Linked DNA regions of Oryctolagus cuniculus. The protein of the gene in region 4 interacts with the protein of the main gene of each other region in a biochemical or structural test. Links are inferred from orthologs where the notes say so. Each region holds a gene or a part of one and is shown on either strand. Other genes may lie near its edges.

Region 1 (3,500 bases), on a different chromosome or scaffold from region 4:
TCCTGCTCCCAAATTTGGCCTTGATCATCGTGGGCATTTGGGGAGTGAACCAGCCCACAGGGGCTCTCCGTCTCTCTCCACTCTCAAATAAAGAGAACAAACAAACACACACCTCAAAAACACATTCACCAAAAGATGAAGTGGGATCCTTCAGCAGGGAAGAAGCCCTGCCCCGTCTCCCTCAAATCTTTCTGACTCCAACATCGAACACAAGAATTAAGTGGGGCAGGGGAGGCGTCCCGATGACCACACAGCCCGTGGGTGCGGCCAGGAGCCCCGGTGGGCAGGCCTGAGTGGTTCCAAGTGAAGCCACCAAGATGGTGGCCGCAACTCACACCACATCAGCAGCCACGGCCAAAGGCTTCTTGTGACCCTGGAGGGGAACCTGGGGGCCCTGGCTCAGTCCCAGCCCTGGCAAGCTGAGCAGGCTCACAGCTCCTGGGTGACCACGACCCACCTGACCCCACCAGGACAGACAGTGGCCCCGCAGCCCGAGCCCACCTGACCCCACCAGGACAGACAGTGGCCCCGCAGCCCGAGCCCACGTGACTCCACGTGACCCCACCAGGACAGACAGCGGCCCTGCAGCCCGAGCCCACCTGACCCCACCAGGACAGACAGCAGCCCCGCAGCCCGAGCCCACCTGACCCCACCAGCACAGACAGTGGCCCCACAGCCCAAGCCCACGTGACCCCACCAGGACAGACAGCGGCCCCGCAGCCCGAGCCCACCTGACCCCACCAGGACAGACAGCGGCCCCACAGCCCGAGCCCACCTGACCCCACCAGGACAGACAGCAGCCCCGCAGCCCGAGCCCACCTGACCCCACCAGCACAGACAGTGGCCCTGCAGCCCGAGCCCACCTGACCCCACCAGGACAGACAGCGGCCCCACAGCCCGAGCCCACCTGACCCCACCAGGACAGACAGTGGCCCCGCAGCCCGAGCCCACCTGACCCCACCAGGACAGACAGCGGCCCCGCAGCCCGAGCATTTACACTGTCCCGTCTGCACGCACAGAAGACCAGGGCACGAGACAATCACACCTGTGAAGGGGGCTCCCGGAAGCGTAAGCTCACTCTCGTCATCACAGCAGCAGGGGACCTGCACGCACCAGGCTTCCCTGAGCCCTGGAGGCACCAGGCTTCCCTGAGCCCTGCACGCACCAGGCTTCCCTGAGCCCTGCACGCACCAGGCTTCCCTGAGCCCTGGAGGCACCAGGCTTCCCTGAGCCCTGCACGCACCAGGCTTCCCTGAGCCCTGCACGCACCTGGCCCGGCACAGCACAGCTGTTCCGTCTGTTCTCTGCCCTGCCCCAGCTGTTCGCCTGACATGAGCCAGTGCAGAACAGGTTGCCAGCACAGGTGACGGCAGCAAGGAGCCTTGCAGGGAGCGCCTCTCCGTCACCGCCACCTGGTGGGCAGTGGCCCTTCTCATCACCAACCTGAACCTGTGCTGGGTCTGCACGGCTCTGCAGTGTGTCTACCGCAGGCTCGGCTCTAGCCTGGGTCAGGGTTTCAGGGGCCCATTGAACACGCAGTTGTCTGCATCCCCAGTGCACCAAATTCTGAGGGACCCAGGGAACTTCTGCCGTGAATCCAGGCCAAGGCAGTGCTGTGGGAGGCACCAGAGGTGAGGCAAGCCCTCGTGCTGAGCGGGCCGCACTTTCTCCCCAGGAAGGGCACGACTTACACGCTGCTGTCTGTGAGGGACAGGGTGTCGGCGTCGCTGGACAGGCTCTGCTGCTCGCTGTCATTGGCACTGGTAGCTGGGGCCAGGGCGTAGCCAGAGTTGACGTAGTAGGGGTTGACAGGCTCCCGCCAGGACCCGTATCTGCAAACAGGAAGTCATGTGAGTGGCAATGCCTCTTAAGCTAATCCACTTTCAGACTCGTCTGCATGTTTTAATACATGAGCTAAAATGCAAGCAACTCAGAAAAAGGAGCAGCGAAAGCCAAGATCACCATTGCTCCTCCCTCACCCGGCCCTTCCCGGAGGGGCGGGCACCTCTCCAGGTCTTTCCTCAGCTTTCAGCCAGATGTCCAAGTGCAGGTTCACAGTCGTCTGGGCTGGGGACACAGTTCTGCCCCTGGAGGTGGTCCGTGAGCCCTGCTGCTGGCTGCCACCTGGGACCAGACTCCTGGCCAGCACTCCGGGCAGCACACACAGGGATCAGTGAGGCCGGAGCCAGGCGCCAGCTGGGCCCCACCCACCCACCCTTACGCTGGCGCACACTCCCCGGAGGGCTCCGTAACTCTCGCTGTCGCACGAGCAGCTGGGAAGTGCACTCTTAACCCTAATTCTGATCAGCAGGTAGAGTCAGTTCTTCCTCTTTACCTGTTCACACCACTTGTCCGTTTTCTTTTCTGTTTCTTATTAGCTCCCATCTAATGATTCACTGCCTACATGCCTGCAAACAGCTGGGGCTAGACCAGCCTGAAGCCAGGAGCCCAGAACCCCACCCCAGTCTCCCACGTGGGGGCAGGGCCCCAATTACTTAAGCCACCACGGCTGCCCCGCAGGGTGCACGTTAGCAAGAATCTGAGTCAGGAGGGGACACAAGCACCCTAACTGTGAGGGCAAACGCCTTTCTTTCCTGTCCATTTCCTGCTGGGTGGTTCAGGGGTCCTGGAGACTGATTTAAGTATTTAAATGTTCTTATTACTGAGGCCAGTGCTGTGGCGTAGTGGGTAAAGCCACCGCATCCCATCCAGGCACTGGTTCGAATCCTGGCTGCTCCATTTCTGATCCAGCTCTCTGCTGTGGCCTGGGAAAGCAGTAGAAGATGGCCCAAGTCCTTGGGCCCCTGCACCCACATGGGAGACCGGAAGAAGCTCCTGGCTCCTGGCTTTGGACTGGTGCGGCTCCAGCCGTGGCAGCCACTGGGGAGTGAACGAGCAGAGGGAAGACCTCTCTCTCTGCACCTCTCCTTTTCTCTGTGTAACTCTTTCAAATAAATAAATATTTTTATTAGTAATTTCTGGTTATTTATTCAAAAAGCATTTTCTCCCTTAATGTTACCTTTCTTTTTGTTTATGTTGATTTTGGATACACGAAAATCAGATTTCCCAATCATTCTTGTGCAGGCGCCCAAGGACCTGGGCCATCCTCCACTGCTTTCCCAGGCCACAGCAGAGAGCTGGATCGAAGAGGAGCAGCCGGGACTCGAACCGGCACCCATATGGGTTACTGGTGCTTCAGGCCAGGGCTTTAACCCGCTGCGCCACAGCGCCAGCCCCAACATGTCCCATCTTTCCTTTCCTTTCTTTTTTCTTTGAAAGGCAGAACAGGGACTGGTGTTGTGGCACATTGGGTCAGGCTGTGTCTGCCATGCTAGCATGCCATACGAGCACTGGTTCAAGTCCCAGCTGCTCCATTTCCAATCTAGCTTCTTGCTAACGTGCTTGAGACAAGCAGCGGAAGATGGCCCAAGTGCACAGGCCCCTACCATCCCCGTGGGAGACCTGGATGGAGCTCCTGGCTCCTGGTTCCAGCCTAGGCC
Region 2 (3,500 bases), on a different chromosome or scaffold from region 4:
AGTTTCCTCAATGGAGGTGTCCGGTACCCTGCCTGAAGACGGTGATTCATGATCTTCTTCGCCTTCCCCTCTGTGACTCCTTTCAGCTATGTTGTCTCCACTGAGCTGTAAATGAGCAAAAGAGTCTTCCAAAGAGGTGCTTGCATCAGGAGATGGTGTTGCAGGGCTTGTTAACTGCCCATCTACTGATGTTAGAGGCCTTACAGAAGACGCCACTGGAGGCTGAACAGAAGCTCCGCTCTGTGCTGATACGCTGTCCGCTCCATCGGCAGAGCTCTCTCGTGCTAGGTTTACGGCACTAGTGTCACAGTCCAGCCTAAGTCCAGCTACTCCCTTCTTTGGTATATCTATTATATCTCGCTTAATCTTCCTACGACGTCCATGTTCATTTCTCCTATATTGAACCATATTTTCAAGATCAGCAACATACAGAAACCCAGCAATTAACATTTCAGTGTTCTTTTTACCTTTGGAAAAAGCATCTTCCAGCTCTCTACTAGTACGCTCATCATACTGCCACCACCCATTTCTTCCTTCATAATACCATGCATATTCACCATTTCCTCTACTTGCTGCCTTGAGTTCCTCTGGTGACAACAAAGTTGGCTTGTCAAGGAAATCCTCAGGAATTTCTTGTCGACAAAGAGCACATCGTTTTCCAAGCCATGAAGCTCCCTTTACACACAGATAGCAGAAAACATGTTTACAGGGCAGACTGACTGGGTGAACACAAGTTTGAAGACAAATGGCACATTCAGGGACGGTGAGAGAAGGTGCGGTATTAGAACAGGACTCATTTGCTTTCTTGTTCGTAGGAAGCATGTTTATTGAGTGATCAATTTCACCACAGCCAGCCATCCTAAGAAAATGAGAAAAAAAAAATGTAATTGTGTTTAAACTTTCCTAAAGCACTTTCCAGAAAGCACTTATTAAGCATACATTATATGCAAGCCACATACTAAACAATGGGGATACAAAGATGAAAATAAGAAGAAAACTCCATTTATATACAAAATCTTTTTGATTTTTGCTATCAGTTTTAACTGCAGGGGACAATGAGGTACATAAATGTTAAACCAAACTGAAACAATCCCATTTTATATATATATATATATATATATATACACACACACACACACACACATCCCTGTATATATGATATATATATATATATATATATATACACACACACACATATATATACATATATATATGTCTAGAGCACAGATTTTAAATACACTATTTCCATCTGGACACAGAATACATCAGAACTAAATGCAAAGATTTAGAAATATAAACAATCTGTCCTAAATTGACTTTACAGTCAATCTGAAAGGTAGTTAGACAAACAAAACAGCAAATTCAGAGTACAACTGCAAAAACCAATTCTGGAGACAGGATATTAGTGTGGCTATTTTATAAATTTTGCCATATATTTATATATCTGGGGTATTAAACAAGCAGATAAATATGAAATTTAGATGAAAGCCTTAGACATTCCCTGCCCCTGCATGTATCTAAAACTATTGCTTGAACCAGTCATTTCTGCCATACTTTTGACCAGCTCCTCTCTCTGAAATGGAGAGTTGGGGGGTTGCGTTTGTCTGTTTTCTAAAGCATGTGTTATCAATGTACTCTTTGAGATGATCTCATCTGTACTCATGGATCAGCTATTGCCAAGGTGGAAATCACACACACATTGCTATCACTTGCCCAGACCTCTCCTTTCAGTCATAAATCTGTATTTTCAATTACCTATATTAGATCTTACAAAAACTGTAATCATCTGTTCCTTCTTTTTTGCTCAATAAAAATCCCATGGTAATACCACTATCCATAAAGCTTATGCTACCCAAAAACCCAACCTAGAAACTGCCCTTCTCCTATCCCTCCCTACACAAAACATCAGCAAGTCCTATCAGTTGTATCTCCTGAATCCATCTACTATTCATCACCTTTCCCTGGCTACCAAGCATTGTTTACTGAATTACTGCATACACTGTTTAATTGGTACAGCCATATCTGTTGCTTAAAAATTTGATTTTAGGATACAGACCAGTCTCTAACAGGGCTCTATAGATTCCCCATGATCTGGGCCCCACCTCCCATTGCAACCTCCATCTCCTATCAAACATCCATTAGACTTCTAAGCACACTGACTACTTCCTACCAATCATAGGTTTTCTCTATATAAACAGTCCCTCCTCATCTCCTGCCTTTCATAAGCTACTACCCATCTCCGATCCCTTTGAGAAAGCCTCCATGAGGAAGTCAGATCATGCTACTAATTCGTTACTACCATGCACTCCTCATTCCTTATCAGAACTGCAATGTTACATTTATTTGTGTGGTTATTTTGTTAATGTCAGTCTTCCCCACAAGCTGGTGTGCTTTGTAAGGGCAGGAACAGGTCATTTTTGGCTCACTGCTCTATTTGCATACGGGATCTGGCAGATAGAGAACATTCAAATATTTGCTTTAAAAAAATGTTTTTTTTTCAAACAATAACATGAACACATCATGGTATCATAAAATTGGTATTTTTATTTTACTTTAAATAATATTAAGTGAAACCACCTGATATAAGCATTTACTTATATATACTTTGGGAATATATAAAAATTCTGCCAGTGGACTTACAGATCAGCCCTGAAGCAGCACACTGAAATACTATATAATGAGAAGCTGTAGTCAGCCATGAGAGAAAGGGTAACTTGAATTAAGGAAGCTGCTACACTGTGAAATCAACACTAGACAAGAAAACTAAAAACCTGTGTCTTAATCTTCTTTGTTAATTATGTGCTCTTTGGGACTCAGTTAAACCTTTAAACCTTTAAACTTCCTTACCTGCCAACCAGAATTTACAAAGTTTAACTCACTAAAGCTCCAAAAGATTACAATCTATAGAAGACCAGGGGAGAAAATGACATGAATATCAAAGGTGCCCTGAAGAAGAGGGAAAAAGAAAGAAAAGCACGATTTGTCAAATTAAGTATTGATTAAACACACTGACATAAAATTTGGAATTTCTACTTTATCAAATCAGATCCCTACCATAGTTCATACACAATACGAGTATTCGATGGCTCTAAAAATCAATCAGCCACGCACTTGGTCTATTAAGGAAATATACATGCAAACAATCATAATATGCACAATATTCCTGCAGTAATCAAAATGTATCATAACAAAAGAGATGACAATGTTTGCGATGCTGAGAGGCTTTGGAAGTGGAGACTTCAGAGACATGTGCAAAGCACTGAGCCACATAAACAAGAGGATAGCAGGAGATGAAGCTGTAAATCAGAGGCCGAATCATAAAAGCCTTATTGTGCCCTGCTAAAGAAATATGTGGCTTGACTTTTATCACATAGTTACAGGAAACAATAGCTATTTTAAAACAGGAAAAAATGACACAGGGTGTAGCCCAGAGACAAATAAGACTGATTAATGGAAGTAAAGATATCAGAGATTCAAAACCACTAACTGATGCTTAAAAT
Region 3 (3,500 bases), on a different chromosome or scaffold from region 4:
GGCTTCGGCTGCCAGTCTACACAGCAGGCCTTAAGATCAATAATAGTAACATCAATGAATACTTACTAAAGCACTTATGATGAGCCCAGCGGGATCCTCAGTACTTCATACATCATAACTCTTTTCACCCTCACCATCACCCTCTGAGCCACAACTCACCTGCTATCCCCATTTTACAGATGCGGAAACTGAGGCAGAGGGCAAAAAAGCAACCTAGTCAAGGTACTGGACAAAGAAATAGCAGAGCCAAGTGACAAAGCTATACCATCAGGTTCCAGAGCCCACACTCAGAATGGCTACGCTGTCTGGCCTTGCAGAACATTCCTGGTAATGATGGAAGGGACACTTAGGCCATGCATTGTACCAAGCGCCCTTCCCATCTCATGTGACCTGCAGTACAAGTCTCAGGGGCAAACGCTACTGTCATGAACAGACTCTGAAGCTTGGAGGTTAAGGTACACTCCCAAGACTGCTGGCATCAGGACTTGCACTCACTCTAAATCCTACACACAGTCTTGTACAACTCTGCCAGCTTCACCACATCACAGGGCTAAGGGTGCAGGTCCAGAGCTGCCCCGCTCCCAACTCTATCCCAAGGCCCCACCTCCCCATGCCCCTGCCCTCACCTCAGAGCGGGTACTCTGTGACTGGACATCCTTTGGCTCCGCTCCAGCTCCCCGCCTCGTGCTGCCGGCACTGGGTGGTGGGGAAGCCAGGAGGTCATCTAGCCAGCGAGAGCCGCCTTCAGGACCTGTGGGCTCCGGCGACACTCGACAGGGGTCTGGTGCCTCTGTCCTGGGTTGCGTGGTCTCAGCCCGGGCCAAGCTCAGGGTCTCCTCCTCGGCAGGCATCGCATGCCCAGGGTCAGGGACATCAGCAAAGAGGACACAGGGCTGGTCAGGGGGTGCTGACTGCTGCTGCCCCAGGACCGGCTCCAGCACGGGCAGGGCTTCCTCTCTGGTGGCCAGGGGGAGGGGGCACTCCTGTCCAGCCACAGGCTCCCGCTCCTCATAGCGCTCCTCTGCCTGCAGCAAGGGTGATTCAGGGGAGCCCCTGCTTGGGGGTAGGGGCTCCGGGGGAGCAGCTGGGGACTGAGGGTGACTCTCCCCATCGCCCTTTGGAGGTGGGGAGATGCCTGGATCCTCCCCCTGAACCCAGGAACTAGGCCTTCCCGAGCCCCCTGGAGCTGACCCGGCCCCTGGACCCTGTTGGGTTGCCCCTGCCTCCCTGCTGGGTGCAGCCCAGGTGCCAGCCTCTGCAGCCTCAGCGGCCTCACTGGCTTCGGTGATCGGGGAGGGGGGTGGGGAGTCCAGCCGCCACACCCCCAGGCCCGAGGGCCGTGTGGGGAATGTCCACTCAAAGGACTGCGACAGGCTCCAGTTGGACTCTGTCCCACTCCCAAAGGGACGATCCAGAGCCGACTGGCTCCCCTGGCCTTGGGGCAGGGCAGCCAGCGAGCCCCCCAGCTTCTCCTGGTCCTGGCCGCCACCGGATGGCCGGAGCACCCCCTCAGAGAATCTGCGCTGGGCTAGGCTAACAGGGCGGGGGTCTGGGTCAGCCCTGGCCGCTACCTCCTCCCCACACGGGAAAGTCCGAGTGATATCCACCAACTCACTCCCCTCAACAGGGGGCTGGAGCGAGATGGGTGGGGGCTGTTCCACTCCGTGGCACCCTGAGACACCCTCAAGGGGAGGGCTGCTGGGTGCAGGGGCCTCTGGGACATGCTCATTAGGGAGTCCCGGGCTAGGGCCATGCCAGGGGCCCTCATTAGGGAGGGCTGCCCTCGGGGAGGCCGGGGTTGCAGGGAGGCAGGGGGAAGCGTGGGGAGCTGCAGGACTCTGGGCTTCTGGCAGCAGAGCATGGCAGGGGGAGCCCTCGTTGTGGGGAGGAAGGCGAGGAGACCCGGGGGCAGAGGCTGGGGAAGAGAGGTCCAGGCTGGCAGAGCCTCCGGGCTCTGATGCAGGGCCTGGACTTGAGGGATCCCAGGGCTTGGAAACCTGCAAGAGAAAGGTCAAGAGCCATCATTCCCCTCTCCGCTGGGTCGGGGAGGCCCCTCCAACCCCATAGAAACCCCAGGCCAGCTCCTCCCTGGGCCTCTCACTCCCCAGATGGGAGGAGGAAACTAGAGCTCAGGATAGTGGGAAGAGACCCTGGAGCTGGCCCAGGGAGGGCTTCGCAAACTTCCTGGGGTCCTGGAGCCATCCTGTGGGTCTTGTCCCAGGAAGGGCTCCTGGCTCTGTTCACTGAGGGTCACTGACACTATTTCAGGAGGCTGGAGCCACCCCTCGCCCACCCAACCCAAAGTGCATCTAAGGATCCCCTAGCAGGCCATGGTAACGGGTCAAGAACACTTGCTTTATAAAAGCAAAAAGGGGAACCGGGACTCTGACCATCTGGGCGTGCAGGAGTGGGAGGACCGGAAGCCCAGCACAGCTCCAGGGAAGCACCCAGGAGTAGTGACTCCCCCAACTCCCCCCGACTCCCCCTGTGCGTCCCTAGGACCCAGTGCTGCCCAAGCAAAGGAGGAAGGCCATGGACTTGGCAAAGGGAGCTGGGGAGCCAGGGAAAGTGCCCAGCATGGCGCCACCCAGCACTGCTCCTATAAGCTGTAAGCCCTCGCTCTGGATGGCGACCACTGGTCTCTTGAGCCTGCAGCAGCCTCCCTGTCTGTACCACGGGGCTGATAACAACAACATCCACGCGACCTGGACAGGCCAGGACTGTGTCAGATTCACGCACACAGCCCTTGGGGTATACAGAGGACAACAGCTGCTGCGGAAGGAAGACACTGGCGGGAGGAAGGCAGCAGAGGGGGTCCCAAGGCCTGGCACGTTTCACTCCTCTGCTCTGCCAGTCCCCAGACAATGAAGTGAGTCTGGCTCCCTCTGACCTTTGCCCTCCCCAGAGGTCAAGCTCCCCTGGCTTCTGTCTCTGATGCATTTTTTTTTCTGCACCAGCGCCTCCTAGGCCTGGACAGAGACAAAGGTCTGACTTGCTTCTCAAGGCCCCTCCTGTTCCTGCCACCCTCCCTCTTCTCTACAATATTCTAGTTCCAAAGCTGACGGCCTTAAACTGCACCCACAGCCCTTTCCCGCTGCAGCCCCCTCCACCCTCCTCTTCCTCCAGTGTTGCTGCTTTAATCCACAGCCAGAGTCAAACCTTCCAACATCCTGGCTCCCTGTGCTCTGACCTCCTCTTCCTCAGTCCCCAGTGATTCTGGGGCCTTCCTCCTCCAAGGCCACAGACCTCGTCCTTACCAATATCTGCAGCCCCTCCACAATGCCACCTTTGTGGGTCCTGCTCACCTGTCCCTACTCCTCTCTGTTCCGCTCACTCTTGTTTGCTTTTGTTTTAAAGATGTATTTATTTGCCTGAAAGGGTGGCAGAGAGAGGCAGATACAGAGATGGATCTTCCCTCTTCCAGTTTACTCCCCACATCATGGCCAAAAGCCAGGTCTGAGCCAGGCTGAAGCCAGGAGCCAGGGACTCCAATTGGGTCT
Region 4 (4,258 bases):
GTAAAACTCTAGAACAAAATTAAAAGTAACTCATTGCAGACAGAAGACGATTTGGAAGACGAGCTCTATTTTAAGTGTGACTAGCCCTAAGTTTTAATCCTAAATATACTAATATACAAATAAATAAAACTAATTACATTTGTTAGTGATTACTTATAAGGAAGTCAAATGGAAGTAAAATTAGAAATGCTAAAATTTGTGAAGCAATGTTAAAATAATCAGATTTGGAATAAAGTATGGGAAAGAACAAATCTGGGTTGACTTTTTAAATCAGATGGAGCTTTCATTTAGCGTGAAGACAGAGCAATGGTATCTCATTTAAAACAAGCAAGACCCTCGAAGGAGTACCTAGTTGGATGCAAGCCTGTTTATGATTCGCTTCACTGCACTCCTGAGAGCAGTGTCGATGTATGAAGAATGGATCGTGATCTAATAACGATTTCCTGTATTTCCCACACCACTGGTCAGGACCCACCTAATGGATCACAAGCAGTAGTTGCTAAAAATGAAATGAAATAGAATACAACGTAAAATATCAGAGCATAGCACATGTAGTAAGGGGAAGTACAGTTTCATGAAACTTTGTGTGTATTTCTAAGTATGGACTGCAATTTAAAAAAATAGTGAAAGTTACTCTTACATGTAAGCTCACTATTACTTCTCTTCCTAATAGATCACGAAAATCAGAAAACCTGCACTATAATTACTCACAAAATGAAAAGTGACTTTAAATCAGGGACAGTGTATGCTCATTAAAGCTTGATTTCACAAGTTCTAGAACCCAAGTGCTTGAACTTAAGGTTCAACCACCTCCTGAGTGAATGCAAATTTAAACAAGATGTGCTACATGTTTAATACCTGTAAAATGAGGATAATATTATTTCCCAAATTGTGGTAAGAATGAATAATACAGTGAGATCTTTACATGTTTACTATTAACAGAACAAATTGAAGGAGTGACTTATATCAGAAATGTAGCAAGAAACTTAACAGAGGGTATCTTTGGTGTGTTAGCTTTGATGTTTCTGTGTGGGGGTGGTGTTTTTCATTGTATATCTTTCTGTCCTACTTGGATTTTGTAATGTGTTTTTAAGGTGTATAATTTCAGTGTAATATTTCTGATGTTTAATTTTTTGTCTTTGTTCTATATGTCCCTGTAATTTATAAAAATATATTAAGTGTTTTTAAAAGAAAATAATCAACAACTTGCTAAACAAGAGAGAGAGAGAGAAGAAGGAGGACGAAGGAAGGGAGGGAGAGAGGGAGGGAGAGGCAGATAAAGTGCAGTACCCAGAGTTAGGAGTTCCCACTTTTTTCCTAGATGTCATATGCCGCATACTCCTTACTAGATCTTCAAATAACCTTAATCTGTTTTTGCCCATGAGATTTAAGGTAAACGGCCTGCTAGACAAATAACAAAACTTCAAAGCCTGTATTTCTTCCATTGTCACATAATGCATCCAAATATTTTTCTCCCAGTTGTTTCATGCAGGCATATTCTGGTCTCAACTGTACAGCAAACTTCTTCAAAAGAGGGAGGTGCCAAAACTTCGGTTATGTCTTTTATTAATGTATTTTACGAAGATCAACAGGAAAAATCTGTAAACGCCTGCGGAGTTACATTAAACTTCTTCCGATCTAGACCGTCCTCAAGGGACAGACCCTTATTCTGAAAACAAACTGGCCACAGCGACGACAAAGCGACTCCAAAGCCGCCCAAATCTTAACTTTATTCCTGTACACTCGGAACGAAAAAGTTTAAGTACTTCCAACTATCCCGCGCCTGCGACTACAGGGAGTCTCGTTAGAGGTATCAGTTTGCAAACAGTAAAGAACGGACTCACACCTCCCCTCCCACACCCCTGGCACCCAGGCGCTCCCTAAAGAAAGGAACCTCTGGTCTTCCGGCGAAGAGTGGACCGGCCGTGGCCACGCCCCCACTTCGCCCCATCATAATTACCTGTTTTTTCATAGCCGGACCCCCGGCCCTGACCCCGGTACCATTAATAAGTAATTCAAAAGTCTGACCTGCAGCGAAGTGCAGGGGAGAAGACTTCCGGCCGGCCATGTCCTTTGCATTGACGTTTGCCGCGTCCACCAGCCTCTTTACCCTGGACACGTCCCCATTGCGACAGGCCTCCAGCAGTTCCCGTAGGGCCCCACTCACTGCTGGGACCCCTGTCCCAGGTCCCGCTGCCCCAGGTCCCAGTGTCGCTGTGTTGCTAACTCCGGCTGCCTCGGGGCTCTCCGCCAAGCTCGATCCAGGGGAGGAAGGAGAGGAAGAGGAGGAATACGTCGGGGAAGAAGAGGACGACGGTGAATTGTTACTGCCACCGCCGGCTGGATTGGGAGCGACCCCGACGGCAGACGAAGCAGAAGCCGCCGGGACCGCGGCCGCAGCGGCGACGGTACAGATTGTGCTGGTGGTGCTGCAACAGCTGGTACTGTCAAGTGGGTCCGGGGATTGGGGCCTGTCGGGCGGATCCCGACTTCCATCCCCCTCCGGCAGCGCTAGGCCGTGCCGCGGGGAAGCGAAGGGGGCCAGGCCACCGGCCGTTGGGGAGGCTGGGGTGGTCGCTGGGGCCAGGCCGGGACTGAGAGGTGGGGGAGGTGGCGGCGGCGGCGCCGAAGCCCCTGGGGCGGGCTGGAGCTGTTGTTGATGATGGTGGTGATGATGCTGAGAGCGACGCGACGCCGCCATCTTCGGACACCCCCAGCTCTGTCACTGCGGCAACGGCCCCACCGCCCGCCCTCACTTCCGACCTCTGGGCCAATCAGCAGTCAGCGCACAGGAACTGATGCTTGGCGGGGTGGGCGGGTCAAAGAGAAAGAGGGAAGTATTGGGAGCTCTGAGAACTTCGGAGGCGGAGGGCGTGGCTTCGTGACTGAGGGGCGGGCTTTGTGACGACCCGGCGGGCCGGCGAAGAGATTTGAACGCTGGAACCAGGTTCTCCCTGCATTTCCCACCTTCCGCCTGCTTGCCTTGCCTTGCTCAGTTCCGTGCCCTAGTCTCCTAGAGCCTTCCTTGTGTTGCTCCAGAGTCAGCAACTGAGGCGCAATTCGGTGCAAGCAGAGAATGTTTTTCATCATCAGGTCCCACCTCACAGAATCGCCTGCAGGATTAAATGAGCTGATATAGACAAAATGCTCCGATTGTCAGTAATATGTAGCTGTCATCAGCCCACTGGTAATTTTTTAAAGCGGTCTTTCTTCCCCAGTTATTCCCTTGGTCTCTTGTTCCTTCCCTACAAGGTTGTTTTTGTTTTTGTTTAAGATTGATTTATTTATTTGAGAGGGAGAGTTACAGACAGACAGAAAGGTCCTCCATCCATTGGTTCACAGCCTAAATGGCTGCAAGACCTGGAGTTGGGCTGATCCGAAGCCAGGAGCCAGGAGCTTCTTCCAGGTCTCCCACAAGGGTGCAGGGGCCCAAGGACTTGGGCCATCTGCCATAGCAGAAAGCTGGATGGGAAGTGGAGCAGCAGGGACTCTAACCCACGCCCGTATGGGATGCCGGCACTGCAGGTGGCAGCTTTACCTGCTATGCCGCAGGACTGGCCTGACCCCTACAAGTTTTCCCACTCTATGTGTGTACTTTGTTAACCTAACATTTTTAACTGGTGGTTCAGATTGCCAGGACCGGAATTCAAGCTCTGGCATTTACTAACGGTGTAAATTCGGGCAGACTCTAAACAACCAAGCACTCCGTCTTGCAGTGCCCCCTCTGTAAAATCGGAATAACAATAATTCCATAAGTGCTAAGTATTAAAATTATGATTTTTCCTCTTCTATTACCTCTGTACTTTTATTTCCTACAGCAAATTTGACTATTTATGAAAGTTATTTTTTAGCTTGGCCTCTCTTCCCTTCCATTACTCTCACCCCACCCCTCTCTCCCCCTCAAACTAAGATGAAAACCTGACCGCTGTCCCTCACACACCTTCATAAATGCAACTTTTCGGTAACTATGTTTTCATTCTCCTGCCTATACCTACTTTTTCCATTGGCCATCAAAAGAGACGTACCCATGAATGGGATAGCCTCCTGGAGATCTCCATCTCACACTGCTTGTTCCGTGGTGAAGCAGGGATCGTGGAAGTAGACACAAACTGCATTATTCCAGTAGAGTGGGCACAGATGGGAAGTCCATGTCCTAAGAAAAAAAGCAAAGTTCAGATAGATCAAGCAGAATATTAAACCAGGAGAAAAATAGTTATTTCATGTGTCCATTGTTAAATATAATTAGTGTAATATTAAT

Evidence for each region. The genes of interacting proteins can lie anywhere in the genome.
Region 1: the proteins of TNKS (region 4) and AXIN1 form a complex in vitro, tested with the Homo sapiens proteins (2 studies listed by BioGRID). The link is inferred for Oryctolagus cuniculus from reciprocal best matches to the Homo sapiens genes TNKS and AXIN1.
Region 2: the proteins of TNKS (region 4) and RNF146 form a complex in vitro, tested with the Homo sapiens proteins (3 studies listed by BioGRID and IntAct, with this or other methods). The link is inferred for Oryctolagus cuniculus from reciprocal best matches to the Homo sapiens genes TNKS and RNF146.
Region 3: the proteins of TNKS (region 4) and TNKS1BP1 form a complex in vitro, tested with the Homo sapiens proteins (2 studies listed by BioGRID). The link is inferred for Oryctolagus cuniculus from reciprocal best matches to the Homo sapiens genes TNKS and TNKS1BP1.

Annotation. Positions count from the first base shown.
Region 1 is NC_091450.1:34,321,523-34,325,022, reverse strand, and holds part of AXIN1 (axin-1), read right to left. Parts: intron 1,833-3,500; coding exon 1,692-1,832; intron 1-1,691. UniProt on the Homo sapiens protein: Component of the beta-catenin destruction complex required for regulating CTNNB1 levels through phosphorylation and ubiquitination, and modulating Wnt-signaling.
Region 2 is NC_091436.1:42,353,579-42,357,078, forward strand, and holds part of RNF146 (E3 ubiquitin-protein ligase RNF146), read right to left. Parts: intron 860-3,500; coding exon 1-859. UniProt on the Homo sapiens protein: E3 ubiquitin-protein ligase that specifically binds poly-ADP-ribosylated (PARsylated) proteins and mediates their ubiquitination and subsequent degradation. May regulate many important biological processes, such as cell survival and DNA damage response.
Region 3 is NC_091432.1:14,805,518-14,809,017, reverse strand, and holds part of TNKS1BP1 (182 kDa tankyrase-1-binding protein), read right to left. Parts: intron 1,998-3,500; coding exon 627-1,997; intron 1-626.
Region 4 is NC_091433.1:79,202,678-79,206,935, reverse strand, and holds the start of TNKS (poly [ADP-ribose] polymerase tankyrase-1), read right to left. Parts: upstream 2,801-4,258; 5' UTR 2,702-2,800; coding exon 2,029-2,701; intron 1-2,028.